4 linked regions of the Arabidopsis thaliana genome follow. The protein of the gene in region 1 interacts with the protein of each later gene in a pairwise test. Each region holds a gene or a part of one and is shown in the gene's direction. Other genes may lie near its edges. The genes, in order: WRKY17, ATHB13, RING and FIB.

Region 1 (8,143 bases):
CCTCAGGTATTATTTTAAGTTCATTTTGCCCGTAAAGTCAAGCATTAAGAGAAGAATACCCTATTACTTTCACGTGCTAAGATATATTGATTCAGTTACATACTGGTTCAAATGGTGATATAGAAAATGTTATTAATTATCGTAGAATAACTTCCTAAAAGACTCGTGACAGATTCAGCATATCAAACGGAGAGTAAGTTCCAAGGGTTTGTTTTGAAGGGGATGATCTGCACCGCTTCGTAATGGTTCGAATTCATATTTTGGTGCATTTAACTGAGATTGAGAGAAGCAAGAGTTTGGAAGGACAAATCGAAAAAGATTTCAATTTTTTTTTGAAAACATTGTTTTGATGACTAAAATGACTTATTTTCTACCTGAATTCATGGTTTAGGGTAAAATTTTCAAAGATATAAAATCACATACTTAGAATTTCAAACCAAATTTCTACTAATTTACGTTTAACCGGTCAAATTCTGTAAAGAATCCTAATCTTCATTCTTTTAAGATCATAATCAGCTATCTAAAGTTTATGAAGACCATTCATTGTTTTACCAAGTCCTTGTTCCTAGCTTAAATCTTCATTTTCATTTTTGAACCATTTTGATTTCCCCTATATCTAGAACTCAAGACATACAACTTATATCATACAATCTAAAAATACAATTAAATTCTCTATTACGATTTTATACTAAAACATCAACCAAAGTAACCATAATTTTTTATGAATAAAAATATTCTATGCAACAAAAAAATTGTTTTACAGCAAATGCTTTATAGTAATCAAGAGGTGGAATTCGAAATCTGAGATAGCACTTTGTAACCTAAGATAAAAATTAGTGTTACGGGTTTGAAGTCAATAGTAAAAACATCTTTCGTAAGATCATATTCTTGGCGTTCGTATAGTGGTGAGACTGTTTCGTACACTTTTGTTAATAACTCCTATGAATCTCCAAGGCAGAATGGAGGAATTTCACAAAAAGAAAAATCTCAATATCATTTCTGATGAAATTGATGGTCAGACAAATAAAAACAAATTTCCGACCGGTAAAAAATTTAATTCTCTAACTTTTAAATTTTTTTAAACGTAATCGAAAATTCTTTAAAAAAATATTAAGTTAATTTTTTTATTTTAAAAATATAATCTGAGTTTATTAAAAAATTAATCATTATCTCATAGATATTAATACATTTACCAATAATTTATCTCGTGGAGGTTACATTGACTTCTACAAACTATTCAAATCGATAACTCTAATTCGCTAAGTAATCCCCAAATCTTTTCTCAGTATCTTTGGCATAAATAAAGCCAAATCTTCTCGAGTGAATAGCAATAATTATACATCATGGCTTATATATTGTATTTTTCTGATAACAAATGTGCATTATTTCTATCATCCACTAACTAATAATTAAAAATTCAATATTGACCGTACTATTATAAAAAAAAAAAACAATGGTTGGAAGTTTGAAATACGTAAACAACAAAAAAACAAAAAAAAATAAAACTTCGTTCGTTAGTACCGTATGAATTCATAGATACAACATATACAAAATAAGTATTTTACCCAACATGTGTCTTCTTTCACTGGTTTGATCTCATTCGTTTTGCATGGGCTAACAAAACAATTATTTCAAATACGCGAAGATTATTATTTCTATGCGACCATTTTATAGAAAAGATAATTTAGATAAGATATAAAGGAGACATTTTTAGAGGAGATAACATTGAAATATATAGTATAATATATTTTTAGAGATTCATAAATTATAAATTTAGAAAAGGACATTAAAATTTGATATAGAAAAGGAATTTAAAAGTAAGTAAAAGTTTACAAAATCAGAAATGAAAAAATAAAATGCTTTTAAAAAAAATGTAGACGTGCACGACAATCATATATATTAGTCGGTTAGGTCAACGATTCCCATGTCGCTAATTTATAATGCATTCCGTTGACAAATATTTAAAAATGTTTCAATTATACATCTTGAGGTCTGTTTTTGCACACATAACACGTCATATATCATTGACAAAGAAAACACGTCGTAATTTTCTTTTTCTTTTTCTTTCATGTAGTCTTCTTGGCTTAAAAGAATTCAGCTAAGTAAGTATGGTTGATATTTTCTTCTACAAGTGATAAAACTTTGGAATTTTTGAATAAGTATAATTACAAGAAAACACTGCATATAACAACTACAAGAAAACACTGCATATACCAAAATTATCGAAACATGTATATTCCGACAAACTGAAATCACCGGAAAACGGTGGTGTATTGAAACAAAGAGTTGTTTTAACTGAAGTTTGAAAGTAAACAAAAGATTAAAAAGTAATTTATAGTAATGTTAATATTTACTCATGTTTCTGCTTTGGTGATTAGTAATAAATCTTCTAAAATCTATATGCCATTTTATAAATGCGATTAAAAATTTACCAATTAAACCTTATTTAGAAAAATGTAGAGAAAACTTCAAATTATCTCCTCAAGTAGGATTAGATCGAGCTGCAAATTGGCTCTTTTTATTCATTTAATTTCCTCCATTCCTAACTGTATTGGTATTGTTTACTTTATTTCTATAAGCAACAAAAAAAAAAGAATCTTGTGGACAGGTGACAATTTATGAGTCAGCCAGAATTGCCACGTGTCGGAAGATCAGTTGCCGTGGTAAAAGGTGTTTTTTAGATTCTCAAAAAAAAAGTAGTTAAAGAGAATAATATCAAAGAGTCAACTCCACAGTTCACAGATCCACCGTTGGATCTAACTTTTGGATTATCAACGGCCCAGATAATAGTTAACCGGAATCACTCGGTTACCGAGGTAGTCAATAGTTCTGTGTTTTAAAAAGAAATGCGTCCATGTGATCACTTTTATTTTATTTGTAGTCAGCTTTTGTTTTCCTACTTTGTCGTTTTTCTTTATCGCTGTTCTCAACTAAAGACTTGTAGACTATACTAATAAGATATAGTCAACGATTGTCGCTGTTATTATAGCCTTTAATCTCTATTAATGATTGTTAATTGTTCCACAATCTGTGTAGATTAATTAGGTAAAATTAAAAGTCAAGAAAAGATTGTTTTCAATTTACTAGTTTTCCAGTCAAGACGTTTTCTAGAAGGCTATGAGGTAAGAAAAAAAAAATATATATTAGGTGCAAAGTTAATATGGGAGTCAAATATTATTTTCAAATAATTATTATTGTCAATGCACTGCAAAATTAGTAATAATTCTAGAAAGAAATTGAAATAATAAAAATATGCTGCAAACACGAGTTTGGTATGTGTGCACCATATAATATTGACAAGTTGTAGTGTTGGTTGAAGCTAAAAATAACACAAAAACATAAAAAGAACATGAATAACGCCTAAAACTTAACACGAATAAAATAAAAAAACATAAAATATATTATCAAAAGTCAAAATCACAAAAGAAATTAATACCATTTTACAATTAGCTGAAAATTTATTCTATCAAAATCCAGTCCTATTAAAGAAAAATATGTGATTTGAGATGAAATTAATATTACATATTTTGATTTGGTTCAAGAATAAATTATGGATTTTGGTTAAAGACCTTCTAATATTCCAAAGAAACAAAAAAAAATCAGCCCAATTGTTCATACAAATAAAAACAATTCATTACCTTTAATTTTAAATTTATTGACTTGAACTTGAAGACATAAGATACCTAATAAAAGAAAAAATAGATATGAGACTTTAAAAAAGCTTTATGATTTTCTTTAGACACCATCCTTTAATGTTTTTTATTTGACTTTTTGTTTCTTTGAAATTCCTTTACCACCATTTTCCCCAAATTCAAGTTTACGCACAATGATTCCTTTATTTTAAAGACACGATTATAAATTCTTGCTTTGCACAAAAGAAGACCCTACATATCTCACAACTCAAGGAGACCAAACTTTGATTACTTTATTCCATAGAAATCTTCAACTCAATCTCAGCCGTTAGATCTAAAGCACCGATTTGACTAAACTCCATCTTAAACCTACTCAACCGGTCACTCGGTCACACCCATAACCCCATATATCACGCCAACGCCATTCTTTTTTCTTCCAGTTTCGCTCTCTCATTCATCAAAAAAAACTTGCACATCTTCTCAGATCTTCAAGTTTCTCCTCTGGTTTCTCATCATGACCGTTGATATTATGCGTTTACCTAAGATGGAAGATCAAACGGCTATACAAGAAGCTGCATCACAAGGCTTAAAAAGCATGGAACACTTGATTCGTGTCCTCTCTAACCGTCCCGAAGAACGTAACGTTGATTGCTCTGAGATCACTGATTTCACAGTTTCTAAGTTCAAGAAAGTTATCTCTCTTCTTAACCGTTCCGGTCACGCCCGGTTTAGACGTGGTCCGGTTCATTCCCCTCCTTCCTCCTCCGTTCCTCCACCGGTGAAAGTGACAACTCCGGCTCCCACTCAGATCTCTGCTCCAGCACCGGTTAGCTTCGTTCAGGCAAATCAACAAAGCGTGACGTTAGATTTCACTAGACCGAGCGTTTTTGGCGCTAAAACCAAGAGCTCGGAGGTTGTTGAGTTTGCTAAAGAGAGCTTTAGCGTATCTTCTAACTCTTCTTTCATGTCTTCTGCGATCACCGGTGATGGAAGTGTCTCTAAAGGCTCTTCGATCTTTCTTGCTCCGGCTCCAGCGGTGCCAGTGACTTCCTCCGGGAAACCGCCGCTTTCTGGTCTTCCTTACAGGAAGAGATGCTTTGAACATGACCACTCTGAAGGCTTTTCCGGCAAGATCTCTGGCTCCGGCAACGGCAAGTGCCATTGCAAGAAAAGGTATTGTTATTACTCCACAATAAATTAATCATTTGTTTGACTAGCCTAGTAGTAGTTAATTGTTTGGTTCGATACGGTCTAAACCAATCGCTCACGGACTCAGTGAAAATATATCACGAATTCAGATTTCAAAATTCTTTTTTTGCCTCGAATTTGTCAATCATGAACAAGTCTACTAGTTAAATTAACTAGTCTCAGTAAAAAATAAAGAATAAAAATCCGGGTTTAATACTTTGTAGACCGGTTTGGTACTATCTAAACCAATCGGTCAATGTATTTAGTGAAAGTCAACGACAGTAACTTAAACCAAAGTGCACGCCTGACAAGGACAAGTTAGTGGGTGCTGTCGTTTTGTATAGGGAAAGTTTTTACGTTTTAAAAGTCTTTGTCTGCCCGTTGACTTTTGCTAACCTGATGCATGTTCACGTTAGTCGTGTCAGCGCACGTTAAATCATTTCACTAATTACAATGTTTTATTATTTAATTAACAGCCGAAAAAATCGGATGAAGAGAACCGTGAGAGTACCGGCGGTAAGTGCAAAGATCGCCGATATACCACCAGACGAATATTCATGGAGAAAGTATGGACAAAAACCGATCAAAGGCTCACCACATCCACGGTAACTATCGTACACCATCGCTATCCACCGTTGATTTATTTGTGAAACATTGGAGATCTAACGGTTGTGATTTGTTTTTGTTGATTTCAGGGGTTATTACAAGTGTAGTACATTTAGAGGATGTCCAGCGAGGAAACACGTGGAAAGAGCTTTGGATGATTCAACGATGTTGATTGTGACGTACGAAGGAGAGCACCGTCATCACCAGTCCACGATGCAGGAGCATGTAACTCCTAGCGTGAGTGGTTTGGTGTTTGGTTCGGCTTGAAGAATTAATTAGTTTGGTAGTTTTGTAATATTTTGAGAAATAGAGGGGTTGGTTTTGTAATTTTTTTTCTATAACAAAATTAGTTTTAGATTTTTTTTTAGTAGTCTTTTGAATGGATTTTAATCTTACTACCGAGAAAGAAAAAATTCTTACTACATTTTCATAATTTCTTGTTTGATATATTTAGTGGTGTCATGTAAGAAAATGATGTTTAGCAAAGTAATTGGTATATAAATGTGTAGGCATATGTATTTAATGATATGGTTCGTAAAGTTACCATTACTCTGTTTGATCTAGTTATGATTTGTGATGGTTGATTTAGGGGAAAAATGTCATTTAATCCCCCAACTTTCAAAAAATGGCCATTTTATACATCAATTTCATATGTGGCCGTTTAAAACATGAACTAAACGTTGACTAATTTTTAAAACATGATCTTTCGTTGACCAGGCCAAAATAGACATGCCGTTATCAGTCATTAACGGAACTTCTAACGTCCGTTATCATTCGTTAACTTTATTAGTCAAGTTTCAAATTGTGGCCATTTTAAACATCAACTTCTTATGTGGCTATTTAAAACATGAATTAAACGTTGAATACCATTTAAAACATGAAAAATTCGTTGACCAGGCCAAAATAGACATGTCTTTATCAGTAGAACCTAGAAACCCGTTAATGACTGTTAATCTGTCCAAAATAACGTCGTTCAAGAATAATCGAAAGAACATAAAGATTTTTTCCATATGAAATCTCCATATCAAAAAGTTTTAAGCAGAACCCAAGAACATAGTTTGATAAAGAGATAATCGCAGTGCCAGTAATTGGAAGCAAATAAAGGTGTTTTCGTTTATATATTTGTTTTAAATTTTAAAAGGAATCATGGAAGCAAATTGAAGACTCATTATAAGATTGTTCGTCTTGTTTGAGCGGTTGTAAAAATAGATTTGGGGAAGTAGGGTTTCATTTAGAAAACAATCCTGATTTTCTTTTGATTACTCTCAAAACAAAGTCGTTTTAGGGATACTAATAGAGTCGTTAACAAGTGATAATGAATGTTATAAGTTCTTTTAATGAATGATGACAACATGTTTATTTTGGCTTGGTCAACGAATTTCTCATGTTTTAAATGGTAATCAACGCTTAGTTCATGTTTAAAATGGCCACATATAAAGTCGATGTTTAAAATGACCACAATTTATAACTTGACTAATAAAGTTGTTAACGGATGATAACGGACGTTAGAAGTTCCGTTAATGACTGATAATGGCATGTCTTTTTTGGCCTGGTCAACGAATAATCATGTTTTAAAAGTTAGTCAACTTTTAGTTCATGTTTTAAACGGCCGCATACGAAATTGATGTATAAAATGGCCATTTTTTAAAAGTTAGGGGATTAATTGACATTTTTCCCGTTGATTTAATGGAGGGTTAGACTTTTGGAATGGGGTTGTTAATGCAATGTTTGACTATTATGTAAGTTTATAGAAAGTCAAAAAGAGATTTCAATGAGTTGTTGGGAGATATTAGATGTGGAGGTTGAACAATATGAATTAATGCGGATTTGAGGGTCAACGAAATCATTATGATGTTGGAAGACAAATAATTTTTGGAACAATATTAAGGAACATTTGCGCTATGGAACATAAGTTCTCACTAAAGGTATGACACATATTTGCATTTGTTTATGTGTATTTCAAAGTTTTGATTAATATGTCATACTTGGTCATAATTGAATACTTTTTGCAGTGTTTGTTTATGAGTATTTTGAAGTTTTGTTCTATTGGATGTTTTGGATATGATATTGCCCCTCCAGCTTCGGATCAGATTCCTTTTCAAATCGATTTTGTGCTTGTGGTTGTTACTAGAAATTAAGACGATTGAGATCTTCACATATCTAATGCTACTAGTGTTTATAAAGTGTTGTTACTTGGTTGATAATTTGTTGATTGTGGCTTAAAAAGGTCTTATCTATGGGAGAAGGATATTGAATTCTGTCGTAATTTTGAGAAGATGGGAGAAAGAGGTAAAACATCTGACATAACTTAATTTGTTTAGTTTCTCATACGATTTATACAATTTCAGTTGAACTATTTTGTGTCCATTTAGCATAGAACACATGTTTAAAAACGAATTAATGTAGATTAGACACCTATTTATATGGATAGTTCCTTGTTCGTTTGATTTTAAGATATATTTTTATATATTTAAACGAATTTACGTATGGTTTGAGTTTATAAATAGGAATTAAGGTTTATTGTTTTACATTTAAATAAAATACGTATTGGTTTGGGTTCATAAGGTAGTTAGGGTTTGATGTTATACATTTAAACAGAATTACCTATCAGTTTGAGTTTATAAGATAAGGATAAGGGTTAGTATTATTCATTTAAACCAAATTATAAATCAGTTTGAGTTTAGAAGGTAGGATTAAGTATTTTGAAATGAATTCTT
Region 2 (8,043 bases), on another chromosome or scaffold:
CGTATATATATATTTATGTCTAAGTTTTTCATATATAAAGTATTTTACACTATGCAGCTAGTTCGCTAGGACTAGGAGTGGTGTGACACGAGAGGAGGGACATATTGTGACTTCTTGAAAACTACGTTGTTGGACTTTCCTGACTTTCATGTTGAGGTTTTGGGCGAGACATTTCCATTTGGATAAACAGTAATCGAAACATATGCTTTTATAGTGTCTGAAATAGATACGTCAAAGTTGGGTGATCATACCGAAAAAAAAAAACGACTATACAAGTTTTCCAAATTCGCTAGCAACTTGTAAGACTAGCCTTTAAATTCACATATCTAATCATACGCTATATTTCACTTCTTGATGATAAGAGTGCACATATATCGCGTCTAGTCAATCTTGTGAAGAATGGATCATAACAGTAAACAATATGAAGTATGGATAAAATCATACAACGTCGCTCAATCACCGCAAGTGATCTTTAGATTGATTGACCGTGCGATCTGTACCACACCGAATGTAATATAATGTATGAAATTTTTTTTTGTTAAGTTCTTCGAATGGATTAAAATGTATCTAGATGTTTACATCTTTTATGTTTTGCCAATAAATATAATATATACTTGAGTACTAAAAATAATTAGTTGAAATTAACAATTTTTACTCGTCTTCTAAAAACCAGATTGTTTATAACTTCTTTAATTTCTCTTTCCTTACCAAAAAAAAAAATAACTTTTTGGGTCATTCACATTCCATACAAAATAAAAATTAAATCATACTCATTCAATAAATATTCGGGTATTTGTGAAGCTATATGTATGCATGGATAAGTAAAAGTACTTTGATACAAAAGTTTTGATTGCAGAACGGCACGATGTGATGCGTGAAATGTCAGTTAGAGACGGATAAGTAGTCTCAAAGTAATGAATAGTAGTCTAATCGAAAGTGAAAATGAACGTTAAAATGTTAATAATTATGTGGTTGATGATGTTAGAGTAAACATCATCGATGAATACGGCACAAGGGATGTTGGGAAGAGAAATTAAGAAAATAATAAAATAAAATAAAAAGAAAGATTGATTATGGAAAGGAATGGAAGAGGAAAGGAGGGAGAGACAAGATAGAACAGCTCTTATGTGGGGTTAATCAAATAGTAGTTTTGTTTGGTTTTTTCCTTAACCTAAGTACCCCACGCACCATCTTTATACGTCTGTCTATGCATGCATATACACACGCACATATGCATTCATGTGTACATAAGCTATCTAACATATAACAGGTCTGTTATATATATGAACTTTAAATAAATGGAAAACAACAAAAGGGTTTTAAGAAATTGCATCATTAGATTTTATATTTGTAACTCTCTAATATAATGCATTTGGAATTTTTTGCATCACTTCCATTTGATATGATACCAATCAATCGGCCAACATAGCACGAGAAACCCTTCTCTCTTAGCGAGAATTTTACTTTTGTGATACTTATTGATTATTCCTATTATTGTTATTTTGCTAATTGTATAACTTTTTTGTAATTGGTCAATCAATATTACTCTACATATATACATATAGCATTACCAGTAGTCAATTGATTTCTTGTTTCGTTTTGGTATCTGTCTTGCGGTTGATAGGTTAGGTCAAAGCTAATAGGTTTGATGAGATCAGATTTGATGTACCATGATTCTCATAGACATGATCTAGAATTTCAAATACATGTTACAAGATTGTTGATCATGGACATACGTATAATCCATGCTTTTGTATATATTGTAAGTCTATTTACAGTTTCAATATAATTTTTTCGTTTAAACGCTATTTTGAGATGGTGATTGCTTTTCCATTCTATTTCAGACCAAATTTCAATTATGTTTGGACCGATCATACTTTTTAGACTTATTGAACTTTAATTTCATACAAAAATGATGAATTCTAAATAAAAACGAAGTAACAATACATATAGAGAAATTCTACACTACTATATTTTGTTAGTTTAATTTCTACTTTTTCACCTTTTTAGCGATAGACTTTAGCAGTTACCTATAAAGATTAACTATATACGTTCCATATTCTGAACTAAAAGATTAAACTAAGGTTCTGAATGAAGACCGTATTAGATAAGGTGGGTGGTGTAAGACGGACACCTAAAATAATATATTTTCTTATGAACTCTGATGTTATTCTGACTGCCTTGATCTTTCCAATTCACCCGCAATCGTTTTTATTTGAAGAATGAAAACGAACAAATTTAAAGTAACTATATATCCGACTAAAAAAAAAATCACAGTTATACTATGGTTTACAAGTGCAGCTATTATCTTCTTCTTTTGTTAAATATTTCAATCTTCCTTTTTCACATCAAAATAATCAAAACTAGCATCATAGAACATCTGAAAATCAATAATATCACTTCTCTCTTCTTCCCACAAAAAATAAAATAAAATTATGTACAATCCCTAGATCCACAGGTCTAGGTCAATCCATGTAGACACAATACGATTATTTGATGGGTCTATATATAGTCCATACGTACTAGCGTGATTAAATAGGATCAACATTGGACCCATTCACTATCCAGCTTCGTCCCTACCCCAATATCACTACATCATTATATATATGAAATTAATTTACATCAATAGAAGTATGAAAGGCGTTAGTTAGCTACTTATTACATATGTTCTCAGCCTATGCAAATGATTTAGCGAAAAATAAATTGTAAATTAAGTTCTTTAGAAATAAATTTAGATGATAAAAAGAGAGAGAGAGACACAACTTTGATAGTTATGATTTAAGATGAGAATTGGACTTACAAAAAAAAGGACAAATCTAATAAAAGAAAAAGTTATTAGATAAAATTTAAAGGACAAGTATGATGAGTGAGAGAGAACACCTCTCTGCATGTCTCTCCCAAGGGGAAAAAGAAGAGTCCTTTCTCTTCTTACCATTTTGATTATCATCTCTTCATTTTCCACTTTGTACGCAAGCTAAACCCCCTTGTAATTTGCTTCCTTTTTTCATTTTCAACAATATTTAGGATTATGCCAATTTGATATGAGTAATAACACAACGAAAACACTAAGATTACATGTTTTGGTCAATTCTACGATTTTTAATCTGCAATTACATTTATTTATTTTTTAACCCCATTTTTTTTGTTCTATCTCCAACTAAAAGTAGATATTACACCTCAATATCATATTCAAAGTTCAAACTGTGTCTTTTGTTGTGGTCTGATGCAAATTTTATTTATAGATGAATCTCAGCGCACCACACAATAATCCACTATCCTAAAGACTAAAGAGTAAGTATATACCAGGGTAAATTAAATTGGATCCCACTTTTACTTGGAAGCCAACAATGGTTAAAAAAATATCTATCTATAAACGATTGTCGAAAATGAAGATAAAATTGGAGTTAATAATTATATATACTTTGGCTTAACGTAAATGAAGTTTAAGCTTGTATTTGATCGTGTTATTTTTATTTTTTTTAACGAGAGAATCAATTGAGTGCGTCTCTTTCTCTTCTCAGCTCATATGTCCTCTCTCTCTCTCTCTCAGCCTTTCTATATAAAACGAAATAAAGAAGAAATTAAATACCAGAAGTGGTATAGTCTAGGCCGATACATTTCACTATCTCTCTCTCTTTTGTTTTTCCTCTTCTTCTTTTTTTCCATTTGATTTCAAACTCTCACACAAAGAGCTTCAGATTTATAAGACCATGATAATGGCTTTAAGACAAAGATTGGCAAGAAGAAAAAACTAAAGAGAAACGACCAAAATCTCAAGCAAACAGTACTAACTTCTGTTGCAAAACAGAAGAAGATGTCTTGTAATAATGGAATGTCTTTTTTCCCTTCAAATTTCATGATCCAAACCTCTTACGAAGATGATCATCCTCATCAATCTCCATCTCTTGCTCCTCTTCTTCCTTCTTGCTCTCTACCTCAAGATCTCCATGGTATATATACATAAACTTCCACACACATCTCCTCTGTTTTCTCTCTATCTCTTTCTAATGCTCTGTTCTGTTCTGTTTCAGGATTTGCTTCGTTTCTAGGTAAGAGATCTCCAATGGAAGGGTGTTGTGATTTAGAAACAGGGAACAATATGAATGGAGAAGAGGATTATTCAGATGATGGGTCACAAATGGGAGAGAAGAAGAGGAGATTGAACATGGAACAAGTGAAGACACTAGAGAAGAACTTTGAGCTTGGAAACAAACTTGAACCAGAGAGGAAAATGCAGCTAGCTCGTGCCTTAGGTTTGCAACCAAGACAGATCGCGATTTGGTTTCAAAATCGAAGAGCTCGTTGGAAAACAAAGCAGCTAGAGAAAGATTATGATACTCTTAAACGACAGTTTGATACACTTAAAGCTGAAAATGATCTTCTTCAAACTCATAATCAGAAACTCCAAGCTGAGGTAATTAATCTCATAAATTAACAAAAAAAATCAATATGTGTTATTTTTTTTTGGGTTAATGATCAATAATTACAGTTATTTTCCATCTAAAGGATGATTTTTTTCTTTTTAAAAAAGGTTAAAAATTATATTTCTGGTTTATAATTATTTGGATCAGGAGTTGCTTTCAGGTAGGGTTAAAAAACTGGACATGATTCATGACTTTTCAGACATCATTATCTCTTTTTTTCTTCACTCTTGTCTGGAAAGAGATCTGAAAACAATAGTTTCTTTATGCTTATCACATTGTACAGTAACTCTGTTTATGTTTAAAATTTTGTCTTTAATTACGCAGATAATGGGATTAAAAAACAGAGAACAAACAGAATCAATAAATCTAAACAAAGAAACTGAAGGATCTTGCAGTAACAGAAGTGATAACAGTTCAGATAATCTCAGACTAGATATCTCAACTGCGCCGCCATCAAACGACAGTACATTAACCGGTGGCCACCCACCGCCACCACAGACAGTTGGTCGACACTTCTTCCCACCGTCGCCAGCCACCGCAACGACAACTACTACAACAATGCAGTTCTTTCAAAACTCATCTTCAGGACAGAGTATGGTTAAAGAAGAGAATAGTATCAGTAACATGTTCTGTGCAATGGATGACCATTCTGGTTTTTGGCCATGGCTTGATCAGCAACAGTACAATTGAAATTGGTCTACCTGTTTTTTTTGTTTTTGTTTTTAAAAAAATTTATATTTTTTTTTTTTGTATTTGGAATTTTGATCAGAAGAACCCATGCATGTTTTCAAAAACTGGAATCTATATCATTAGCTCACTTTGAAATCTGCAACCAAACACCACTGAGGTTTTTTGTTTACTTTTTGAGTAAATGAGATGTAAAAAAATGGGTAATATCCATTATATTATATAAAAAATAATATCATTATGGCCCAACATTTTTCTGTATGGAGAAAAATAAAATAAATTGTATATTATATAGTTTAGTCGTGGGTACTGGCACCATGTGGTCGTAGTCGTCATATTCAGAAGTGGGAAGAAATAAATGGAATAGCACAAATGAAAAGGACATTTTCCATGAAACAAATCATTATTTTTGTTTAAATCCATGAAATAAATTCTGCATATGTCATGATTTGGTCGAGCGGGTTAAAAGGACCAAAGAAAAATGATGGGACAAAATCTAAACGAGTGAAATTTGTAATCACGAGACCTTACAAAAGACGTACGATATTTAAATCTGACGATGCCGCAGACCATCAATTTCATAACCCTTCTCTTATTCTACAGTTACATTATTCATTTCACCGTGTGTGTCTTTTTTTTTTTTTTAAGAAAAAAAAATCTAACATCACTATCAGCAAATTATAGTTTGTTTTTATATTAAAAAAGACAGCAAATTAGAGTTTGGTTTGATGAAAACCTTTGTTGTCCGGTTTGATGACAATGCCATTCGTTCTCGCGCAGAAATATTGATGAGGTATCAAGTAACATATCATGCATTAAAATAATGTGTCACCGTGTAAAATAGTACTCATCTATCAATGACATATATTAAATGCATAGTCCCATTAGAAGTCTTGGTTCATCAACACAAAAATATTTTAAGAAATCAGATATCCTCAATTTCTTTAAGATAATATGGGATTTTAAGTAGAAGAGATTATAGATTTGATGAGAGTAAAAGAAGCAGCAAGAGACATTAGACGCACACAGATTCCAAGGGAGATAGAGGAAGAGGACAAAGAGAGTTGGAAGAAAGCAAGCAAACAATTTGGGGTTGGAAAGTTGTCACTCTCCTTTTTAATCGACTCTTCTCCTTTTTAACTCCTTTTCATCTTCCACATTCAAATGGCCGACACTTTTAAACTTTTGGAAATTTCTTAAAGAATTCGATGTTTCCTTTTGGTGATAAATTTGAAATCTCACTTACAATCTATGTTTATTAAAAAAAATATTGAACCAATCATTAGAAAAAATCAATTAAAATTTTAAAAGATGCTAGCGACAAAAGAATGCGACAAAATCTATAAATAAAAGTTGCTTAATACCCAAAGATGTGGAGAAACTAAGGCCAATGTTGGCTTCAACGATGTTGAACCAAAAAAATTGATCGCCATATATAAAAGCGGTTGTAGGCTAGAACACCGTTGATTTTTTCTTCTAAAGAACTAGTGGTGAATTGCCAACTTTTTAAAACCAGAGAACTGAAGTGTCGCCAGTTATAGAATCCTAAATTAGATTAAAATCAAAGGATATTTTAACTTTCATTAGATTTGAAAAATCAAAACAGTTAACATGTTCAAACCCCCATGTTGAAAATTATTGGTGTTAACCCAAAGGTCCATAAGAAAATATCTCGATACTCGGTGTTAACTAAAAAAAATACTGCAAATGATACTATGTAGCTCTAGTTCAACACGATCTCTCTAGTCTCTAAATGACTATAAGAATTCAAAACAAAACATATCAAACGAAATGCGTTGGTGCGACCCACTAGAATCACCCACTTCTTTCCTAAAGTACAATTTTCTTTTTAGCTAACCGTGTTTGGTTTGCTTTGCTTTTTTGGTTAATGGACCCTTTGTAAACTTGGATGCTTCAACTACACTTATATGCTCACTCTTATCACTTCCACGTAATATACTTATAAATTGTACAACTAGGAAATGACTTCTTGTGTGCATGTGTCTGTATGATAAAATCCTATATCATAGAATTGTACATGTGGTAAAACATTCCTTACGTTTGCTATCTAGTTATAAATGTTATTGGGTACGTATATTTTTGAACTTTTGTAGTTAAAAGCTTGTTGCCTGATTATTTCTTTTGGGATAGAATATGTCATAAGATTTCTATCCGTGCCGGTAAAAAACAAAAAAAAATCTATTAGTGGCGGACCCCAAAATTCGTTAAATACAACATAACTATTAATCCCTTTACTTTAAAATATAAGATGTTTAAGATAAAAATACAAATATTTAGATAGTTTTTTTAAAAAAAAAATATGATTTGTATTTAATAAAAACAAATCTAACCAATCATAAAAAATATTACAGCATATAAATAGTTAAAAATAATAAAAATATATTTAAATTTGTATAGAACCTTGCAAAACATCTTATAATATGAAACAAAATAAAAATGTCTCTTACATTTTGAAATAGAGAGAGTATTAATTAAAAAATAGTTATTAACTGAAATGTGAGTATCGAACATGGTTATAGTGGGTCAATACACCAAAATTTACAAGTTATGCTATAAGTTCTTTAAATTTAATAATTTATATCTTACCCCTACCTTGGTCCACTCATGATTTGAATACTTAAACATCACATATAGAAAATTATAAATATATCCTTATTAATTTTTTTTATAAGAAGTTGTTTAAACGATCGTAAATCCATACCATGAACTTTAACACACATTCCATATCCATACCATGTAGATGTTTGAAGTGGGAACTAGCTAGCCATATAAATATATCAGTTTCAAATATCTCTTTTAATCTTCATATTTCAAAGTTTCTATTGAAGTTGTAAATCTAGAGTACTTTATAATGAATGAATGGTGTGTGGACACAATTCAGAGGTCAAATCCATCAATTATGCTCAGAAGC
Region 3 (7,424 bases), on another chromosome or scaffold:
TATATAATATGAATGTAAATATTAATGTCATGTCATTATCTGTTGTTAAAGAGAAATAGTACATACATAACACATAGCATATAAAACAAAATGAAAATGAAAAGGTTTAACTGTAAAAGGGACAATATAAACGTAGGAGTTTTTTTTGTGGAAAAAAAAACATCTATGTAAAATTGTCAAGTGGATCAAAATCAAATATTAAGTTCGATCATCTATGTAAAATTGTTGAATATTTGTTTGAGTCTCTATAAAGTATAAACATCTTAGGTGAAAAAAATATCTCGTTGTTTTTATAATTTTTGAAACTTAATTTGAAAAAAATATCTATCTATTACGCAAATAATTAGTAATAACTAATCCGCGACTGAAAGAATCAATGTATATGTTTATAAAATAAAGCAATTGACGACACTAGCTATATACATGATTAGAGAATTCAATTCACACTAGTTGTTTGATTTTAAAAAGTTAGGAGTTTTCATCTTGTCACGTTTCCTTCATATATAGCATGAACTCGGCCACGTACGTCCACATCTATCTTGTTCGTTTGTCTAACTTACGAAATCAATATTAATTAGAAATCCACATATAGAATATAAATTGAAAATGAATTTGAAAACGTATAATGGGACAAATAAGTAGTCTATTCTAAAATGATAAAAAGCTCTGAACAAGTGATGATGTTAGGCTTAGTTTCTGACATTGGAGCAAAATCGATAATTAGACAAACGAATATGTCGACAAAATATATATACAAATGAAGTTGAGAAAGAAAAGACAACCGAAGTTGTCTTTTTCGACGAGTCTGGTTTATCCTCAAAGTTGTTCAGTACTGTTACTTTTAAGGAAAATAATCGTGGTTTGGTCTTCTAAATTGATTTTTCTTTTAATATCATATGTGGAAAAACTTCTATTACACCAAAAAATGTTGTTGAGTTCAAAATAGATATGATGTATCGGTAAAGAAAGACTGAACCGATATTTACACAATTCTCGGTTGTAAAAAGAGATTGAGATCGTCCACTTTAACGTAAGTATTAGGGGTGGGCGCAAGGCTAGTACTTGCTATTTTAGGGATACTTGTTACTCGACTTGCCTTGTACGAGTAATCAAATAAGTAATTGTATTTGGTTTATTGAAAACGAGTACTTACAATTTCAAGTATTTGCTAAAATATGATTGCCTTGCGAGTTACTTGCCTTGTCCTGTTACTTGCTACTTGCGAGTTACTTACATGTACTTACGAGTTACTACTTGATATTCACGAGTTATTTACAAGTATTTACGAGTTATTACTTGCTACTTGCGAATTACTTGCAAATAAATTACTTGCAAGTAACACTTTCGAATTACTTAAAATTACTTATTATTTTATTTATCATATTTTTTACTTATTTAAAATTTACTTTACTTCTAATATAGTTTTAAAATGTGTCTAACACTAAAACAATACAATATATGTATAGAAAATGGTAAAATAATGACGAGTATCGAGTCAAACGAGTCGAGTATTAGTTTTTTTTCATTACTTGTTACTTGATTTGTACTTGCAAGTATCTAAATTATACTACTTGTTACTTGCCTTGTTAAAAACGAGCATTTGTTTTTTCAAGGCGAATACGAATCAAGTAGCGAATATAAGACGAGTAACGAGTACTTATGTCTAGCCCTAATAAATATATATGTGTTTTTTCAATAACTATAACAAAAATAATCGATTAACTCTTTTGTGCTCAAGTTACTATGTAAAAATTGGTATGAACAACATTAGATACGCATCATGATAATGTTTGTTTAGTGGATAAAAAATCGATTAACAATAAAAAAAAATAGAGAGAGGCATGAAAACGAAAATAAGGAAAAGAAAAAGACTATTCGTTTGGTGTGGTCGACCTGTCCCACACCGAGGAAATCACACTTTTATGACAAGACCTACTTGTCCGTACTATATAACATTATCGAATGATTCCGATTTTCTCTTTCCTTTTTTTTTTCTTTAATACGGAAATTACTAATTAAAAATTAAAAAGCGACCAGACGACAATTCAAGAAGCAAACAAAATTGGTGGTACCGAAACAATAAATCTTTTTTATTTATTTCTAAACAATTATTAATTTATTGAAAATTTCACGAAGAAATGAAACAGAAAGTTTTTCTTGGTCCCACTTAGACGTGGCCTCAATCTTCACATCATGGCCCCACACGCTTCTCACGTGCAACTTAACCAGTTACGACAAAACAAAATTAAGAAACATATTAACTTTAGAAATGTATTTACAATGGTTAAATTATTGTTTTGTGCCATTTCGTTTAATACAATGCACCGCTACATGATCTTAAGATAGCTCACGGAAAATTTAGAAAAGTAAATCACAAGTCCCAAATATGCCACGGTGGAAGATGACATGGCAGATATAAAGCGGAGCTTTGCCACATTGAATAAAATTACGAGAGTAACTTTATAGTTTGTAAAATTAAAATCATGGGAATGGTTTAAATTTTAAATAAAATAAAACTGAAGAAATGAAGAGTATGCATATTTAATACTATCTTTTGATATGAAATTTAATTACAGTAATCACAAAATAAGGAAAAGTTAATAAGAAAAATATGGGTTGACTAAAGAGAGGTTAATTTGGAATCTTTTTACAGAAGAGAATACAGTGAACTAACATAAAAATTTTATTAGGAAAGACAGCTTTACACATTTTTAAAAATGCATTTAAGGAAAAAACAGCTTTGCACCTTTTTTTATAGGATTTGCATCTTTAAATTTTAGAAATAATACAAAAAAGGATGGACAAGAACATAAAATCTAATAGTTTTTTCAACAAAAGAAAAAATCGAATAGTTTATGCTAATATCATTAACATATTAGCAAAAAAAAATTTATTGATTTTATAATGGCTCTTTGACTAGTCAAGCTTGCATATGTTTATGTGGATGTTGCTAAGGAAACATGCATGAGTGCATCAATAAATAAGAAAGAAATATTACAAAAAAAAAACTTTTTACACGTCCCAATATTTGCAAACTTCAAGAAAGATAGTATATATTGTTGAATAAAAACTTAGTATATTTTATATTTCTCTAGATTATATTCCTTTTAAGTTCATAAAATTGGTTGTTTCTTTTTCTTTTTCCTTTTACAAAAATCAACTGTATTTTACTAACATTTAATTTACAAAAACTTTAATTACTAAACACAATTGGTAATATACCATGAAAGTCAATATCTAATTTGAATTCATAATTATTCTAAATATCTAAAATATTTAAATAGTAAAAGTAATAAATATGTATTTATAGAAAATTAAAAAAATATTGACTTTTTTCTCTCCCTTAAATAAAAGCCAATCCCATAGATTTCTTCACCAGTCGCCACAACTCCTCCCTCTTCTCTCTCTCTTTGTTTCAGAATCTCTAGGAGCTTTTTTCAACAACAATGGCTGTTCAAGCTCATCACATGAACATTTTCTCTCAGTTTATATCACCAAACAGGTAAAAATCTCATTTTTATATTCTTCTCACAAACAAACTTCCTCTGTTTTTATTTTCCTCTAATCTTTTTTATTTTTGTTATTTGCAGAGATTGTGTTAAATTTCAAGAAAACATGAACCACGGCGAGTTTGAGTTTACCGGCGGTGAAGTTCCGTTAATAACCGGAGAATCTTTCGCCGTTGAGCCTTTAGCTGCGAAAGCCAACTTCAACAAAGCAGAAAGTGGTCTCAGTTACAATTTCACTGTTCCTCCTCTGTCTACAAAACGCCAGCGAGATTTTCAATTCTCAGACTCAAACGCTCCGGTTAAACGGAGGTCCGTAGCGTTTGACTCATCATCACCGTCGTTGATAAACGTTGAACTCGTATCTCAGATTCAAAACCAACAACAGTCAGAGATCGATAGGTTCGTAGCTCAGCAAACGGAGAAGCTAAGAATAGAGATTGAAGCAAGGCAACAAACGCAAACGCGGATGTTAGCGTCTGCGGTTCAAAACGTTATAGCCAAGAAACTAAAAGAGAAAGACGATGAAATCGTACGGATTCGAAACCTAAACTGGGTTTTACAAGAGAGGGTGAAGAGTCTTTACGTCGAAAATCAGATTTGGCGTGATATCGCTCAAACCAACGAAGCAAACGCTAATACTCTTCGAACAAACCTAGACCAAGTTCTTGCTCAACTCGAAACGTTTCCAACCGCTTCAGCCGTTGTAGAAGACGATGCGGAATCGAGTTGTGGAAGTTGTTGCGGTGATGGTGGTGGTGAAGCGGTAACGGCGGTTGGTGGTGGTTGTAAACGGTGCGGTGAGAGAGAAGCGAGTGTGTTGGTGTTACCATGTCGTCATTTGTGTTTGTGTACGGTTTGTGGTGGTTCGGCTTTGTTACGGACTTGTCCGGTTTGCGATATGGTCATGAACGCTAGTGTGCATGTTAACATGTCTTCTTGACCATCTTTTTTTTTTGTTCGTTACAATTTAATTTATATTTTTTTTGTTTCCTTAGGATTATATTCGCAAAAGAAATAGCAAATTGATTCTTTTCTTTTTGTAAGTACATATAAATTAGTTTTTGGTTAACTCTTGATTTTCTTACGACTTAAATGGAATCCAAGACTGAAAATTGCAAAAAAGAAAGACGAAATAATTTGTCGAAGAGAATTTAAAGGCTCCTCCTCTCATTATGTGTGGGAAAAAAAGAAAGAATAAATCATATAAATGAATTTAAAGTGATTCGAAAATGTTTTGAAAAGTAAATATTCCAGAGTTCTTTTTAAGTTGCACCGTTGTTTGGTTGCTTATTCTCAAAGTCGATCACATGAGTTTGAATTATCTACCACCTTTTAAAGATTATCATAGCGTCGATATAAATTGAAAAAGGTATAAAAATGGTCTATGGATATATACTATTGCAATTTGGAAGTATCCTTTATCTTTCCAACCCCGCAACTATATTCAACCAGAAGAATCATACTTCGCTATCGAAACTAAAATAAATTATGATAAAAGAAAAAGAAATAGTCTGAATTCGATTGTCTCAACGACATTTTCAGTTCATAGTCATTATAGTTGTCGTGTAATAAATATTTCATATTCGGATCATGTCATGTGCAGTGCATGTCTAGACAAAATAAAATACCCCCACTAAAATGGATTTTTAAAATTATATCCTATATTAATTCTATAAACGACGAAATTAGAACGATGAATACGATGTGTGAATTCACGAGTTACGATGATTGCGTCCAAGAAACGTTACCATGTCTCTATCCAATAATTTAGTTTAATTTATGTCTTAGAATTATTTGGATCAAATGGCACGAAACGAAATAGTGGCGAAAATGAAAATGGTACGACTCTGCGATGATTCGTACAGAAATTAATTAAAGAGAGAGTTTGAATTCACATTTTTCCATGTCTTCGTTCTTACCCATACTTATTTTTTTCCTTTTGGCCATGCCCCTACATTACGTAGTTACTTACCCTCGCCCAAAGTTTTATGTTATATTCACCTAACCCTATCTTTTAATTTGTTTATACTTTATACGAGTTTGGACAAGGGAATAAGAAAAAATAAATTAGTTAGTGATTGTTGCAAAGATAATGTTTGTGACTAATTGGAGCTTTGTCTAAAAAATTTACTTCCAACAATTCATAAGTATATTTGGATTGTATTCTTTTTTTTTTTCTGATGCGAAATACTCTTATAATTTTAGATATCAGAAAAAATCATGGTTGTTATTATTTGTGGGGACTATAAAAATCTATAAAGCGTTTCTAAAGTCTTAGATATTATTTTAAAGGATAGTTATCGTTTATTTTAGAATAATATCAAACATTATCGTCGTACCATTACCAAACCTAGCATGAATTAGAAGATCCGATTATCCGAATAACAACCAAATACTAGAAGAAGTGATTCCGTAAAAGGGCTGGCTTCTCAAATGGGCTGTTCGGATACTTCCATACACTATCTATTATTTTTTGTCGGTCCATACACTATCTATTAGGCTTTAGATTTCTTAATTATTAGTACTCTAGATTTGAGAGATGGAAAAATATTACACGGCAAGATACCTTGGAGAGAAAAAAGGAACATAGGAATACTATGACATCGTGTGACCAATCCCATTACAAATCTACCACAAGACATGTATAATGTGATAGATTCCATAAGAAAAAAAAACTAGAAAGACAAGAGGAGGCAATCATACGAGAAGATCGATATTACAAAGCACCCGACAACAACATATCAAAAGAATCAGGTAAAACCAGTTTCAAAAATGATCACATACAGAATTTTCGGAAAATTGTGAAATTACTTTCGTAGCCATGAAGTTAATGGCTAGAGTGACTAGACCCGTAACATTACCATATATCATTTGAACTGAAATTTGTTTGTTCTGAGGATTATTTTTCAAGATATCAAAACGAAGATAAGTGGCTGCACAAACTTTTTTTAGCGAATATATCGTTATGTTATCGGGTCTAGCACTCTATCCACTGATTTCATGACCACGAGCCTCTATATTGCGCCGACTTCTTAAATGGGTTTCAATAGCAAATTTCTTTACATTAATTGCTCATCTAATCACTGATCTTGAGAAAAGTCAAAAATACTTATCGTAATTTACATCCAACATCTATAAAAATTGAGTATCGGCCAATTAGTGATTCATCATACGTAGAAACATAGACGCAAACACAGTGCTACAATCGATAAGAAAACTAAATGACGAATCGTAGAAAAGAAAACTTAATTTTGTCTTATAATAGGGACGAAAGAGCCATTTCAACCTTGGAACTAACCTCGTCTATTTAAGATATGTTGATAAGAATTTGTATAATTGTACATTAGTTCTTAGTTAATATATATAATATATATGTATATTTTTCACATGGCGATTTCGGAGATGAAAATTCAAGATCCTAAATTATTTATAGACAGGATATCCGAAGAAAAAAACAATAGAATCTCAGGACAAGACATGTAAAGTGAATGGGTGATATTCTTCCAAAATCGTAGGTTCTCTTCTTCCTTGGCCCTTCCTCATGCTCCATTCATTTTGCAAAATATTTTTGGAAAGAATTATTGAATTTTAATGAAAGTCCTACTTTCATAGTAAAGATTTGTTAATTTTGGCAGTACTTTATATGTAACTATTATTACATGACATTCGAACTCTCGAGAGGGGTTTGAAAACAGAAGCATCTTACGTGTATTCCAACCGTCCACAAGATATATGAATAAAAAAGAATCATATTTCTCCATCCGACTAAAAATATTGCATAGTCATTATTGTTGTCGTGCAATAAATATATTAGATTGGGTCATATCATGTGCGTTGCATGTATAGACAAAACGATGAATACGACGATGTGATGAATTCACGAGTTACAATGAACGCGTCCAAGAAACGATTACC
Region 4 (8,282 bases), on another chromosome or scaffold:
GATACAATAACATTACAAATCTTGAGAAAGCAAAACTTCAAATCTCAAAACCATTTTAAGAATTTTGTAAATAGACAAAAGCTTACCTCAGAAACATCATTTACAAGGTTTACGACCTTGAAAAACTCTGGAGTAGTAGTGCTTTTCCACTTCAATATCAATGGATATTCAGATTGGAATTCCTTATCTCTAACTCCATATGCTGCACCAAATGCTGGAACTGCGCTCAACACCCATCTTGTTAGCGCGAGTCCAAATCCTCTCAAATCATATTTCTCTTTTGCCCAAGTTTTCTCGTCCATTCTCAGAATTGAATTTGATAGAACACTGAATGCTTCTTTACCCAACGGTTGGGCTGTGTACATCTCAAAATCAGAAGCATGCTGCAATCTTGGCAAACGTATCTTCTCTTTTCCATATGGTGTCAAAAGAATTCCTTCAGTCAACACTACTGCAGCAAGACACAACTTTTCTTCATCTTCAACAGCAGGTTCACCTTCCTTAGGTTTTAAAAACAATCGATCTTCGAGATCACCAAGAGTATAGGATCCTTCACTAGCCCAAAAGTATGGTTCTTTTACAGGATCTTTCCCCTTTCGTCGAAGTTCCCTATGAACAGGTTCACATTGAATTCCTGTAAGAACAAAAGACAGTTTAGAGACTATTATTACAGGTTTTATACTAAATACTTTAAAAACGATTGTAAATCATGTTTAACACTTTTAAAAGCTTTTAAAATCCCTTATAAATCATTCAATGTCACTTACTTATGCTTTAAAAACGATTGTAAACCATGCAGACACTTTTAAAATCCCTTGTAAATCATTCTATGACACTTACTTATGCTTTAAAAACAATTGTAAATCATGTTTAACCCTTCTAAAAGCTTTTAAAATCCCTTGTAAATCATTCTATTCAACTTACTTATGCTTAAAAAACGATTGTAAATCATGTTTAACCCCTTAGAAAAGGTTTTAAAATCCCTTGTAAATCATTCTATTCAACTTACTTATGCTTAAAAAACGATTGTAAATCATGTTTAACCCTTAGAAAAGATTTTAAAATCCCTTGTAAATTATTCTATCCCACTTACTTATGTTTTAAAATCGATTGTAAACCATGCAAACACTTCTAAAATCCCTTGTAAATCGTTTTAAGACACTTACTTATGCTTTTAAAATCCCATGTAAACGTGTTTAACACTTCTTTAAGCTTTTAAAATCCCTTGTAAATTATTCTATGTTAGTTACTTATGCCTAAAAACGGTTGTAAACCATGCATACCCTTTTTAAAATCCCTTGTAAATCATTATCTGCCACTAACTTATGCTTCTTAAATAATTGTTAATGAAGTAAACCCCTTTTAAAAGCTTTTAAAATCCCTTGTAAATTATCTATAACACTTACTTATGTTTTAAAAATGATTGTAAACTACGCAAACAGTTATGCAAATGCCTTGTAAATCATTCTACGACAGTTAATTAAGCTTTAAAAACGATTGTAAAACTTTATTACCTGTTGTGAGATAGAACTCTCTCAAGGAGAAACAGATAGGTTGAGAATCAACTCTAAACCAAAGAGTTGATCCTTTTGTTTTCACTCTCTGCTGCATGAGATAGTGAAAGATTTTCCCAGAAAATCTGATTCCCTTCTTAGCCTTCATTTTTGGTCCCAATTCAACTAGAAGACCAAGAAACGAACTTCTAATCTTCTGAAATAAACACTCGCCTAAAGCTTCCTCTACTTTACTAACTAAATTCCAATCCAAGTATTGTTGAACGGTTCCCAGTGCAATAGATTCCTCACCTTCTCTGTAGATCTGTTCAGGCAATGTAAGGATTTCACTCTCTGAATCCATCTGCAAAACATGTTATGAAACATCGTCAGATCTACTATAAAATCGACTATAAAATCGATTATAAAAACGGTTACCGTCGGATCTATCGATATCTCTGGGGATTGTTTGCGTCGTAGAGAAATGATCTGAATCCGTCAGCGAAGAACAGATTTATCGGAGAGGAAATTCGTCAGCGATTTTGGGGTTTCTCGGAGAGAAAATTTGTCGGCGATTTTGAGTGAAATCGGAGAGGAAATTCGTTGGCGATTTTGAGTGAAATCGGAGAGGAAATTCGTCGGCAATTTTGAGTGAAATCGGAGAGGAAATTCGCCGGCGATTTTGAGTGAAATCGGATAGGAAAATTCGTTGGCCAAAACGAAGAAGTTTGTGCCAAAACGAATTGTATTGTGAAACGAATGTGAAACCTAATCATTCAGTAAGGGTAAGACAGTCATTTGCCATATTAGAAAGGGTAGTTTTAAAAATGGCCTTCAGGAAAGGACATTTTTACAAAAGGTTATTAGAATAAGGGCAGTTTTGCAAATCTCCCAATTAAATATTAAAGTATTTTGAATCAATGGCATTTTTGTAATTAATCTAAACCGGAAGGATATTTTTTGGTTTATATTTTATTTCTCTTTCCTATTTACGTAAATAACATATTTTTATGTATAAATTCTTAATATTCTGTTTATCCATGTATATATTTTTAACTCACCCTATAGTTTTCTAAGTAATTTAAGTATTTTGGTTACATTTGGTTATATTTTGGTAAAATATAACTAATATATTTTTGGATAAACTAATCAGGCATCTCGGTTAGATTTAGGTATAGATGAGTAAAAAACTCGAACTCGACCTGAACCCAAAAATATTTTGAGTATTTTTGATTATTTTTCAATTCTTACTAAAATAACTAAATCGATCCAAACTCAAACCAAAACCGAACCAAAATTTTAGAATACATGAATGGTTTTTAACTTCATACCTAAATAGATCCGATACTCAAAAAAAAAAAGAACCGAACAGATATGAGTACCCGAATATCTACACCTGCCCAGTATTATTATTATTATTTTTTTTGAACAAACACCGGTACTATTATTTTACCAGCTAATTTTTCTCCCTTTAAGAACGTTTTGGACCTATTGGTCTATTGGATACAAAACTATTGTATTCATTTTAAATTTTTAATGGGTCTTCTTTGTTAATAAAGGCCCATTAAATATACTATCCAGGCCCATTTAGTCCAACTACTTATTACACTGTTGATTAATCGCCGTTTAGATATTTTGCATTGGAGAGAATCTTCACCGTTCAGAAAACTGAAGATCGAAGATCACCAAAACCGGCCAAAAAGTATAGTACACGTCCGAAGATTCTAGATCCATCATGCCATTTGCATTGCATGGCCTAACTCTCGTAGAAAACCCAAACAAATTCTCCCCCACACAAATAATGGGACAAAAACCAAATTAAACCAAATTGTTTCCCTATTGAAGAAAATAAAATCTTCCACAAATTTTATGAATTTTTCATAAAGTCGGCAACTTCACACGAGTCCAGGTCGATTCTTAAAACAATGATCTTTAACCATCCACGTGTCAAAATCCCACCTTAGCTTACCTCATTTGTTCTATTCCAAATACCTATTCTATCCCTTGGATCTTGACTTATATGTTCATAAGAAAGTGTACCAGATAAGGGTATATACGTCATTTACAGTCCAGCTCAACGGTTATAAAATCCTAATTCGTGAGGTTTCTCTGAAGAACAAACACAAAAATGGCGACGGTACCATTGTTCACCCAGTTTCCCTGCAAAACCCTAAATCCAAGCTCATCAAACACTAAACACCAATCGAAATCTCCGATCCTACTACCGATTAACTCAATAAATCGGCGATCGGAGATTGGAGTCTCTGTTCATCGGCCAGATTTCAAAATCCGAGCGACGGACATCGACGACGAATGGGGTCAAGATGGAGTGGAGAGAGTATTTGCCTCATCTTCAACCGTATCGGTAGCAGATAAAGCAATCGAATCCGTGGAGGAGACGGAGAGGCTAAAGAGATCACTAGCGGATTCGTTGTACGGAACAGATCGAGGTTTAAGCGTATCGAGTGATACGAGAGCTGAGATCAGCGAGCTCATCACACAGCTCGAGTCTAAGAACCCTACTCCAGCTCCTAACGAAGCTCTGTTTCTCCTCAACGGCAAATGGATCCTCGCGTAAGTACTTTTAGTTCTGATACTCTCCTAGGCACGGCATGTAATATTAGTTTTGTCCCAAACATTACTCAAACCGGTGATCTCTAAGCTTCGTCTAGGATCTTTACCAATTAAGTTAATGATACTTTAAACTTACCGGTGGAAGTTTAATTTCCCGGTGAAAACTGTTTAGTTCCGTTATGAATGATTTGATTTTGATAGTGAAAAGCAAGTTGTGGTTACAAAGAAGATTTAATTATGAATTTGGATTATGATTCTGTGTGTAGTTATGAGCCTTCGTTTATTTTTAGCCGTTATTGTTATGAATCAAGAACTTAGTTTTTAAGTGTTTATCTCGTGAAGCTACACGTCGTTCGTGGGGTTGTTCCCATTGCTCTCACGAAGAATTGAACCGTTGGTTAAAGTGGATGAGATCTCACAAACCATTGATTCCGATAGCTTCACCGTTCAAAACTCTGTCCGGTTCGCTGGTCCGTTTTCCACAACGTCGTTTAGCACCAACGCTAAGTTTGAAATCCGAAGTCCTAAACGTGTCCAGGTAAATCAAGAATCATCCCCTAAAACCACAAATGGCAAATGCTAATGTTACATAACCTAATTGTTTTTTTTGTTTTGTTTGTTGTAGATTAAGTTCGAGCAAGGTGTTATAGGGACTCCTCAGCTAACGGATTCGATTGAAATACCGGAATCCGTGGAGGTTCTTGGTCAGAAAATCGATCTCAATCCCATTAAAGGTTTACTTACATCAGTCCAAGACACTGCTTCTTCAGTGGCTAGAACCATTTCAAACCAACCACCATTGAAGTTTTCTCTGCCTAGTGACAACACGCAGTCGTGGCTGCTCACAACTTATCTCGACAAGGACCTTCGGATCTCGAGAGGCGATGGTGGAAGCGTCTATGTGCTCATCAAAGAAGGAAGCTCTCTCTTAAACCCTTAAATCATCATAACTCTCATCACATCCATAGTAACATATATACAAGTATAGACCCATCTGTCTATGTTTACTAGTGTTGTAACTGTTATATAGCTTCTTTACCTGTTGGAGAGTTATAAACTTATAATGGATGTTACTCTTGGTATACTGTACTACAATACATATACATAACTACATACTTGAACAGGCCAGTTATGGGTTTGCAACAGCAACACTTAGCATTGGTTCAAATTTGGTATACTAGGAGGGTTTGCATTCTGTATGGCATTCGGTTTTCCGGTTTAGTTTCAGTTCGAACTTTTGACTCGGATTGGATCAGGTTGTCAGCATTTTGGTCTGGTTTGAGTTTACAAAGGGGATACCAAATTGAAACCAAAATTTGTATCTAGTTCTGTAATTTTAATTTCAGTTATTTTTGGTTTATGAATGGTGGTAAATCTATTTATTACTTAGAAAACCGGTTTGTTACAAACCAGGTATCTTACACAAACATTTGAAAGAAACAACTGATCTTTGTTCACTCTTAGCTACGAAACAAATCAGCACAAACCTCGTAAAAGATCTCGAGAATGGCAGACCGATATTCGCGAGGATTCATCGATAGATAGTACTCCAAGAGGCTTCTAAGTTCATCTGCTTCTTTGATCTTGTTTGCTACAATCATCTCAACCATAGAGTCTCTAAAATCCTTTCTTGGATCAAAAGAACATTTCTCCATCGCCATCATGACAATGAACTTAGTGCTACTGATACTACCCTCACTTCTTCTTCTTCTTCTTCTCATCTTTTGTTGTCTTATCTTCTCTTGATGTGTGGCTTCTTGTGTCTCTCTGATCATCTGCTCTAGCTTCTCCTGAACCATGTAGTGTGCTAGACTAGAGAGCGAACCGTGATGGTCTGAAAATCTTGAACTCTTGTCTGCTTCCACCGAGGAAGAAGAAGAAATGCTGAGTCTTGCTTTGTTGCTGCAACACAAAGCTCTGCAGACTCTTGCTTCTTTTGTTTGGTGTTGTGATTGTTTGTTATGCTTCTCTGCTTTTTCTTCTGCTCTGTTTATGAGTTTCATGTTGAAAGTTAAGTCACATTATAATCAGGTTTTGAGGATTTTAGATGTTTGTAAACGCAAATAGAAAAGAGTTCTAATTAAAACATTTATGTGTAAATTGAAAATGTGGGGCTTGTTCATCATGATTATGTCTTGATCATAATATAATTAAAACCTCAATAAACGATATATTTTTAAATTTTAGTCTCGCAACAAGTTTCCAACGTTATTCATTTGTGTAAACTAATATTTATTTATTTATATTCTTCAAAATCATTATCTAGTATCTACGATTTGTGTTCATAATGCAATACAAAGTCGTACACTTAGATATATAAGGTTAGATTGAACTTTCATTTAATTTTTCGAATTGATAAATTTTCTACAAGATCAAAGAAAAGAGTGTGTTCAGTGAAATTTGATTCATTATTTCAAGTCATTGAAACAATGATAAATCGACCACTATCACTTAACTAATATATAATTAAGGCTTATTGGAAAAAAAAGATGTTGTAGTTTCTGAAAAATATATGTCAAATCAAAAGTAGGAATATAATAGAGAACATTAGGTCTGATTGAAGATAACTGTTTTTTTTTTTTTTTTTTGAAGAAAGGAGTACTAAATGCATGTATTTGTGTCGTGTTTTAGAAATATAGGGGTGATTAATTTGATTATGATGTGATGTAGACCATCTTCATGTCTACTTTAGTTTAGTTGTTGTTGTTGAAGATGAGATATCTAAACTTTAAAGTTTTTGGTAATGTGGAAAAAGTGATCAATATGTAATAGTTGACATCATCTGTCCCAACTAAAAAATAGAAAGAGAAAAAAATGAAAACCACTGATATCGATTTTTGTTTTAACATTCTCTCAAAGGACATACTAAATTTTAAATAGATCATAATTGCAATGTGCCATACATGATTTCGCTAGAACCTATATATGATGTAATTTCATCATTCATGCAATGCAGTTCAATAGTAAAAGCTGGTTAAAATCGTTAAATATAAATGATAGATTAAGAGATAACGTATGGTTGTGTCTTGGAGACAAGACATGCTTTATCCTGCTGGCTTGTACAAATACCTCATTTTTGCTTTGGGGTTTAGAAAAATTTATAATCTATTGTTCTTTTATTGGTAAATATATATTGAGAACAGTTGGATCATGAAAGATAGAAAAAAAAGTAAGTAAAAACAATTGGACTTGAACCAGATAACAATTATACGATGTAGAAAAATTAAAACCATGATAAGAAATTGTTTGTGTTTGTGTTTGGAATCTTTGTGGATCGGTTATTGGAGGGTATATAATCTTTTACCATGAAAATAGTGGTCGAGATAAGATCACTTGAGAGACAATGATATGGTATCATCTAAATTCCTTCGGACACAACAACACAATTAAGTAAGAAAGAATACAATCATTAATAGAACTTGAGGTGATAAAAAACAATTTAAAGGTTCTACCTAGTTATTACTAAGGGAAATGGAGCTTAATGTCTTTACGAACAAGTTATCTTGTGTTATTCAACAAAAGAGTATGCAATAATTGGAGATTAACCCCAAAAGATGTTACACCGCTGGATAGAATCACTTTGTGGTGATTTATGTCTTTGTTGATTTTAGAATTGGGTCTTTTGGGGATTTTGTCATGTGACAGTATCCATATAACTTTTCATTTTGGTTATGGATTTTTAATTAAGCTGTTAAACTAAAAAGTGAACTATTAAAACGAAAGACTAAATAAAAAATTGATTAAAGTTGATCTAAATACAGTCAGTAAGTACCTTATCAACTTGTTAAGCTGACAGTTAAACCACATGTTGCCATTATGGTCCATACTTTCTAGGGTTTATGATTGTCTATTACATCTTCCTTACCATTTTATCATTAGGTCTAAACTTGTTCTTTCGATTAACTAAGAAAATTATAATCACTTTTTAGTCTAACAACTCCGGTCCTTCAACACAAAAAAAACAAGAAAAAGTGATGTTCGTTTCGCAGTTAGTAACGACACTAACACAATGTTTTTCCTTTTCATAGTTTTTTTTTTTTTTTTTTGGTCAAACTAGCTTTTTATAAATGATTCTACTCTCCAACAATGGAGAAATGGTTCAACAAGTACATCAAAGAGGCTACAAAGGCCAAAGAAACCACTGCTACAAATGGCATACGGAAAGCACGAAAGAAAAAGATAGAAGCATACATAACAGTTAAGCAACTAAAGTTG

What was found.
Region 2: the proteins of WRKY17 (region 1) and ATHB13 interact in a two-hybrid assay, tested with the Arabidopsis thaliana proteins (one large-scale study listed by BioGRID).
Region 3: the proteins of WRKY17 (region 1) and RING interact in a two-hybrid assay, tested with the Arabidopsis thaliana proteins (one large-scale study listed by BioGRID).
Region 4: the proteins of WRKY17 (region 1) and FIB interact in a two-hybrid assay, tested with the Arabidopsis thaliana proteins (one large-scale study listed by BioGRID).

The regions. Positions count from the first base shown.
Region 1 is NC_003071.7:10,435,226-10,443,368, reverse strand, and holds WRKY17 (WRKY DNA-binding protein 17), read left to right. Parts: upstream 1-3,899; 5' UTR 3,900-4,146; coding exon 4,147-4,805; intron 4,806-5,296; coding exon 5,297-5,425; intron 5,426-5,515; coding exon 5,516-5,693; 3' UTR 5,694-6,016; downstream 6,017-8,143.
Region 2 is NC_003070.9:26,255,352-26,263,394, forward strand, and holds ATHB13 (Homeobox-leucine zipper protein family), read left to right. Parts: upstream 1-3,436; 5' UTR 3,437-3,814; coding exon 3,815-3,950; intron 3,951-4,031; coding exon 4,032-4,414; intron 4,415-4,748; coding exon 4,749-5,114; 3' UTR 5,115-5,430; downstream 5,431-8,043. UniProt on the Arabidopsis thaliana protein: Probable transcription factor that may act in the sucrose-signaling pathway.
Region 3 is NC_003075.7:10,710,658-10,718,081, reverse strand, and holds RING (SBP (S-ribonuclease binding protein) family protein), read left to right. Parts: upstream 1-3,336; 5' UTR 3,337-3,446; coding exon 3,447-3,502; intron 3,503-3,590; coding exon 3,591-4,449; 3' UTR 4,450-4,672; downstream 4,673-7,424.
Region 4 is NC_003075.7:1,928,540-1,936,821, forward strand, and holds FIB (fibrillin), read left to right. Parts: upstream 1-3,343; 5' UTR 3,344-3,621; coding exon 3,622-4,067; intron 4,068-4,409; coding exon 4,410-4,605; intron 4,606-4,692; coding exon 4,693-5,007; 3' UTR 5,008-5,411; downstream 5,412-8,282. Other genes in the region: AT4G04025 (transcription repressor), read right to left, coding at 5,470-5,484, 5,555-6,070. UniProt on the Arabidopsis thaliana protein: Probably involved in light/cold stress-related jasmonate (JA) biosynthesis. Contributes to the protection of photosystem II (PSII) against light stress.